2 linked regions of the Coturnix japonica genome follow. The protein of the gene in region 1 interacts with the protein of each later gene in a pairwise test. Links are inferred from orthologs where the notes say so. Each region holds a gene or a part of one and is shown on either strand. Other genes may lie near its edges.

Region 1 (4,322 bases):
ACAGGTGAAGGGAAGCTCTCACTCAGCTCCAGGCGAGGAGCCAAAAGAAACAAACCAAAAAGGAACAGAGACCTTCATCTCTGAACAGAAATTGCTGCACCCCCCGGAGCATCCAGTTACCTCCGAGGGTTCCCCATTGCCATCACTCCTTTTTTCCCCTCAAGGGGGAACAGAAGCCATGATTTCAGTGCCTGCACCACTCAGCATTGCCATCCCATCAGTACTCATCCAACGTGTCAGCCCTGGGCACCGCCAGGCCTCTCTCCTTCAACGCCTGCACCTTCAGCTTCTCCGACTCCTGCTTGGCTTGCAGCTCCAACCTTTGCTCCTCCAGGATCTCCTCGATGGAAACCTGCTGCAGCAACGTGTCGCTCTCCTTCTCCAGGTCCTGCAAAGCAAAGAGCTGTTGTTAAGCAGAGCTGCAGGGTGAGGGGCTGCAGGGCACGGGGCTCACTCACAATCTCCCCCAGCAGCACCACGTTCTCCCCTCTCACAACGAAGATCCCTCGAGGGATGTCCCCATATTTCTTGCCCACGTGAATTCGCTCCACTGTCTGATGCAGCACCAGGTTGGCTGTGGGGATAGAGAAAAAAACACCCCGTTTTTAACCAGTTTTTTACCAAAACCACCCAGTTTTTCACCAAACAGAGCACCTCACCTGAAACAACCCATAGCCTAAAGCATAGGGAGCAGCTGGATTGCATTATAGCACTATAATCCTATATGCTGAGCATCCCCTAAACAACATGATCCCCCAAACCCAGCCACTATAGGACCCCAAAGCAGCCACTACCTATAGCTGATAAAGGGATCCCTGGTGCTATAGGGTAAAGAATGAGGGGCTCAGCTATAGGCACAAGTGAATGGGGAAGGGGGGAAAGGGGGGTAGGGAGAAGAGGGGTAAAGGGAGGTAAAGACTGGGGGGCTCAGCCATAGGCACAAGTCAATGGGGGGATGAACTTAGTGCTGCCCTAAGGGGGGAATATAACATGGGGTGGGGGTCCAACATGACAAGGGATGGGGGAACCACAAACTGGGTTCCTATCGGAGCCATATGGGTTCTATTAAGCCCTGATCCGGTGTCGTTCCCGGTGCTGCCCCCCCTATCCCCCCCCATTATATCCGTACCGAACTGATCGATGCTGCGTAGGAATCCGATCAGCGTCCGGCCGTCCCGCAGCAGAACCAGGTGTTTCTCTATGGGGAAAGGGATCAAGCGGGGGTACGGAACATCGGTCCCAATGGGAACCAAGGGGAAAACCGGGGTCCCCCGCGTCCGGGTCCCGGTTTTCCCCTTGGTTCCTTATTGAATGAATAGAACCTCGGTCACACTCACTGTCAATGTCCTGGATGAGGCTTGCAGTACCCGGCATGTAGTTCATGGTGGCGGAACCGCCCCACGTTGGGCGGTACTTAGCGATGCACTGTCCCTTTAAAAGCGGCGCCGGTAGTGCGAGCGGGGCTGCCTTTCATTGGTTACATCCAGGGGTCCTCGCATCCTATTGGTCGCATGGTGGGGGCCTTTTATCCTTGTGTCGCGCTGTGGGGTGGGCTACAGCGTGCCGGGTTGAAAACATGGAGCACCGCGGTCGTACCGGGCAGGTAAAGGGGGGGGGGGAACCGAGCACAGCCCGTTATCCCGTTATCACTGCTCCATATAATGGGGTTTTTCCTTATAGGAGCCACCAGGCCCCGGCTTCAACCCCGGTTATTGGAGCCCAGCGTTCGGTTTTGGGGCCTACACCGACGGAGCGGACTCGGTATGTTGGGTTTGGGGGATGAGGGTCCATTTCCATCCCCCTCCCGTCCATTAAGGCTTTGACCGAGCTGTGCTTCATTTCTATGCCATAGGATACAATGGGCTTCAAGCCCCACTTGTTTCCTACAGCTCAGTACAGAAATAACCCATTAAATATCCTAACACACATTTCAGCTCATTTTCTTTCTCTTTTTCCCTTTTCTCCTCCCCAGGCTATGGACTCACCCTACACCAACGGATCCTACAGCGCCCCATACCCTCCCCATTACACCTCACTGCCACAAACACGAACCTACAGCACTTCAGGTCCATCCTACAGCACCGACAGCTCAGCCCCATATCGACCCCCCCCTCCTGCCCCTCCCTGGGGCTGTGGCACACAGGACTGCCCAGCAGAGGGATGCTCAATGCGCAGGCAAAAGGCTGCTGGGTATTCCCCACCGCAGGTAAGAAACCATTTAGGGTGTGCACAGCAAAGCGAGAGCTCCTGTGCTGCTCACCCCATAGAGGGTGAACCCACAGTGCACCCTAATTGGGCCCAAATGGCTTCTATGTCCCACCCAGCTCGCCCTGCTTGCTCTTGTAAGAACTTGGAGTTGCCCCTTTCTGCTGGGAGCTCTGAGGTCACGAGCTTTGGAGCAGAAAGCAGCAGCAGTCCCAGTGCTGGGGCTCATCCCAGTGCTGGGGCTCATCCCAGAGCTTCCTTCTGCCACAGGCATTGGGAGCTGACTTAGGACTTACATCTGTCCCCCTCTCCCCACAGACCCCAGGGATGCCCGTTCCTCAGTATCCATATGGAGACCACAGCCCCGGGGCCAACCCACAGCCCAGGGCTCAGGAGGAGGCGTGGGCTCCCCCTCACTATGGGGTGCAGGCACGGTATGCATGGCCTGCAGCTCCAGCACATGGGAATCCATTCCTCTCTGAATCACAACCACCCTGGACTGGCAGCAGGACTGCAGCTCATCCTCCTGTGTGGGACTCGAAGGTACAGTGATGCTTTAATGGCTCTGACACAAAGATTCTGGCTGTAGCCAGAGCTCAGCTCATGCTGCCTTCCCCCGCAATACACACATGCAGCTGCTCAGTGCTCCTTTCTCCAAGCACAGTTTGCTTCCAGGAGACAAAAACAAAGCAGCGGTTCTAAGTACTGCCAGCAAAATCACCTGCTTATATATCCAAACTGCCATTGAAGAAAGCACTGGAGATAGCAGACCCTGAGAGGCGGGTCTTGAAGTGGAGCAGATCTCATTTAATGCCTCTGTAATGTAGACTCTTTTTTTTCCCCTTCTGATTGTAGGAATCTGCTTATGACAAACCTGATCCGAGTGCAAACCAACACTGCTACTATTCTGACAGCAATCACCAGCACCCTGGGACAATGAATGACCACAAACCACCCTCCCTGCTGCATAACTCCAAGTCATCTCCCTCCAACCCCAAGGTACAATACAGTGCACAGCCCCAGATGTACAACAGTGCAACTCGGAGGCAGCTGGCTGGGAACCAGGAGGCAGGTTGCAAAGCTGGCAATCACACTGCAATGAATTCTGCAGCCATCCAGCCAGAGATACAGAGGATCCTACAGGTCACAGAGCAGGCTGAAGAGTTAGAACAAGAGGTGGATGAATTTGTAGGGAAAAAGACAGATAAATCCTACAGGCTTCTGGAGGAGATGCTGACCAAGCTGCTGTTAGAACTGGATTCCATTGAGACTGGTGGGCAGGATGGTGTCCGACAGGCCAGGAAAGAAGCTGTCCATAGAATTCAGGCCATACTGGAAAAACTGGAAAGGAAAGGATTGTGAAAGCAAATCAGCCACAATGCAGCCTGTTGTGGAGGTTCCAAAGAGTTAATCCAAATCTCAGCTCTTTCTGCTAAGCACTACTGATAATGAGAAAGCAATAAGACTTGATTGAAAAGAAGAAACAACCCTAAACCCACAGGAAAGCCCAGCCCCGACCAACAGCTCAGCATTGGACCAATGAAGAGAAGATGAAAGCAGCAAATTGAGTTGTTTGCTCTGGGATGTGAAGAAGCAGCACCACCTGAAGGTGTTTAGCACTGGGTTGTCTGTGTCCTTCATCCAGCAAGAAGAAAATCACTGCACAAAGTTCCCCAAACCGGGTCCAAATCCACCCAAATCCATGGTACCTCGTGGAGCCACAGCTGCAGCACTTGTCACATGCATCACCATAAATGAAGGTCCATCAGTGCGTGTGCTTTCAGCTTCAGATCCCTTACCCACAAAAGCTGGTTTGTGTCATCCCGGGGTTCTCTTTTTGTTTCCAATGCGCTCCCTGTAGCTCTGCTGATGTGAAGCTGTTCTGTGATGCCGTGTGGATGTGGGAACATAGCCTGGAACTCTGAGTTTTTCACCTGGAAAAGCCAGTTGCAGGCAGAGCCGTGCAGCCCTGGACAGTGGGAGGTGCAGAAAATGCTTTTTCAGGTCGCGTGGGTCAAATCCACTTTTTAATTGTAACGCCTACTGGGTGAACCTGGTTACGACATGCAAAGCGAATCATTGCTGCGTGTAATGAGATCATAATAAACCCTGATGAC
Region 2 (2,901 bases), on another chromosome or scaffold:
CTGTTTTTCAGTCTTGAGCATTTGACTTGCTGTTTCCCCACTGCAGTAGTACTACTGTAGATTATTCTATGTACACACCAGAGTTAATTGTCTTCCGCTTCAGTTAAATGCCCTTTACTGAGGCTTTCAGCCCTTGGGAGAATTGGGTGTTAAGCGTACTGACAAGAATCTGGAGTGGATGTGGATTAATAACCTCTTCAGACCCTTGCCTGCAGCTCTTCAGCTCATCATAATGCTGGCCATGGCCTTCTGGGGATAGACTCCAGTTTCTTTTTGTTGTTTCTTTTTCCAGTTCTCGGGGTTGATTGAATCTTTTTAATGATGTTTAGGGCTTGGGAAATGGCTTCTGTTAACACAGCAACCTTAGGTATCTTACTCTCACCTTGTTTGAAGCAGCTGAGAAGGCTGCTTGCTGTTAGAGTGTCCTGGAGAGTGCTCCTTTCCTGTGGCAGCATTCAAGATTGATCTGAGCTATTCAACTGAGCAGCGAACTTTGTCCTCCTGTACCATGAGATTAAATTGTATCAGTAGTTAACGTGATCTTCATATTTTCATGCCAAGGCAGTTAACTTCTTCTGGCTTTAACTGTTATTTCACACTGTCATTTTGTTATACTGAAGACTGACTTGATTTCTAGACATCTGAAAGAGGAATATAAACAGAAACTGGTCCCCTACTGTACTGGCTCCTGTTCCAGAACTCCCCAGACGTCAGTATTTCCTCTATCAGTTGGTCACTTCAGTTTCCCAGCTCCTCCTTTGCACTTCTATTGCTGCTATGAAGCAGCTGTTTCATTCAGTTCTTAGGCTTGTTTTGCATATATTTGCATAATCAATTGAAAAATCAGATTAACAAAATCATCTTTCCAAGGTAGATGCGGTTTTGGCTACACACTAAGAAGCTGACAATTAGGTGAGCCTTCCAGTTATTTCTAATATTTAACTGGTTAATGTCCGAGCCAAATCAGCAGCCCTTCTGGGAGTGAGCTGTTAGCTGTTCTTGGAGAGCACACACAGATCCTCTCTTGCGTTTAAGTGGATTGTGGCCTTCTCCAATGTGCTGAACAGCAAAAGAGTGTGAATTGGCAGAAGAGGAACCAGTCCTTCATTCATTTCAAAATAGGGATTTGCATTTCCCATTTTATTCCTGCTTACAGCAGACAACAATACTCAGTACTATAGAAGAGCAGGGCTATGAAAGTGTGTGTGCAAAGTAGCTGGGTAGCAAGCAGGAAAGTCAGTTGGAGGCTGTAGTTGAGGGAAGAACTGAGGTGGTAAGAAGAGAGCAACGCTTCCAGAGTTTCTGTATAACCCAGAGTTGAAATCCTTACTGCCTTGTTTATCTCAAGTTGTTCCCCTGCTTTGCTGCTTTGATTTTTCAGGTCCTCTCAGTACTAAATCAGACCTAACCTGTTGCTGTCTGTCCTTCCTGAGCCTTTAAGACAAGGCATTATTTAAGACTGAGAAAGGAGTTTCTTATGCACGGTTCTGGTACTGCATCCTGTATTTAAAACATGCTTGATTCTCCTCTGCTGTCAGTGGCAAACCTGGAAGGTTTTAAACAGCTTCGCTCTTCTGGGACTGTTTAGACTGTGAAAGCCATGTTCTGCTGGGCAATGCTTTTTAAAGTTCCTTTAAGCTGCTTGGATTGCTGGGAGCAAGTTGTCCAGTATATTGTACATACATCTAACTTGATTAACTTAAAGATGCAATATTGATAACAACCAGTTAAACTCAAGATATATTCTTTACCCTCAAAACATTAAAGAAAAAATAATGCTAAGATAGTTACTTATTGAAATGACTTAGAATGTTCTGGATGTGTGTAGAACTCTTTTTGCTCATCTGCTCTTTAATGCCATATCCTTTAATTTCAGATACGAAGGTCTTGCAGTATTATTTTAATCTGGGATTGCAAGTAAGTGCTTTTAAAGCGAGTACAGTAAATTGCCTGTAAAAACTGCTGCTTTTCTTGACAGGTGTACTGATGTATTTAAGACTTCCAGGTGTGCTAAATGTGCATACTGTGTAGATGACAATTATTACATATAGGCTTGCTTGGAAGCGATTAAAGTATAGGTCAGGAACAACGTTCTAACTCAAATTGCAAAGCACATTAGTGTGTCTGGTTGTTTACTCCGATTTTTGTGAAGGATGAAGAATAAATATTCTCTCAGCGAGGGTAAAGGGGAAAATGGAACTACTGGGAAAATTTGTCTGCTTAGATGAGATATCAAAGGCTGTTTGAAGATGGATGGTTTGAGTCCTCTAGGATATGCACGGCTCAGACCAGTTAGCACCATTCCTTTGCCTTGAGAACCATTGCTCTGCTAAAGAGCACTGTCTGCAACAGTTGTCTGTGCACCAGCAGTCACGGGCAGTGTCAGTGCTGGAACTCTGAGGAGTAGCAGCAGTGTGCCAGATTCTTCAGCTGAACAAATGGAAAAATCTCCTTGAATATGGCAAACTCCCTCTTAATAAAACAGGATAGAACTGAGTTGGTAGTTGGAGCTATTACAGCAAATTTTCTGACACTGTGTGCTTTATTTTTTTTCCTCCTTCATATATAACATCATTGTCTTTGATATGAAACTACTGGTGATTTGGAGGAGGGATGGAGACTATGTGGTTCTATGCCTGACCTTGTTTTCTTGTTGTCTTTCTCCTCAAAGTACTATCACCAGAGTTACTGGCATTCCATGGTCTATGTACAGCCAGTGCCACCAGCATCATCTGTGGAGGCTTATTCAGCATATCCTGAGCCAGCTCATGTCATGGATCAGTCGGTACCTCATCTCTACGATGCTGGGCGAGCTGAGGTCCAACATGTTCCCCTTGATGTGCCTGCAAATGGTTAGTATTTGACTATAAGACCACATACAGAAATTGTGAAAAGTGAGGT

What was found.
Region 2: the proteins of BAG4 (region 1) and ALG13 interact in binary tests that used the Homo sapiens proteins (3 or more experiments, as listed by UniProt). The link is inferred for Coturnix japonica from reciprocal best matches to the Homo sapiens genes BAG4 and ALG13.

The regions. Positions count from the first base shown.
Region 1 is NC_029537.1:3,645,462-3,649,783, forward strand, and holds the start of BAG4 (BAG family molecular chaperone regulator 4), read left to right. Parts: upstream 1-1,381; coding exon 1,382-1,603; intron 1,604-1,680; coding exon 1,681-1,761; intron 1,762-1,972; coding exon 1,973-2,206; intron 2,207-2,523; coding exon 2,524-2,748; intron 2,749-3,060; coding exon 3,061-3,567; 3' UTR 3,568-4,322. Other genes in the region: U6 snRNA-associated Sm-like protein LSm1, read right to left, coding at 218-388, 459-574, 1,130-1,198, 1,338-1,383. UniProt on the Homo sapiens protein: Inhibits the chaperone activity of HSP70/HSC70 by promoting substrate release. Prevents constitutive TNFRSF1A signaling. Negative regulator of PRKN translocation to damaged mitochondria.
Region 2 is NC_029519.1:12,426,506-12,429,406, reverse strand, and holds part of ALG13 (putative bifunctional UDP-N-acetylglucosamine transferase and deubiquitinase ALG13), read left to right. Parts: intron 1-1,876; coding exon 1,877-1,917; intron 1,918-2,671; coding exon 2,672-2,852; intron 2,853-2,901. UniProt on the Homo sapiens protein: Catalytic subunit of the UDP-N-acetylglucosamine transferase complex that operates in the biosynthetic pathway of dolichol-linked oligosaccharides, the glycan precursors employed in protein asparagine (N)-glycosylation.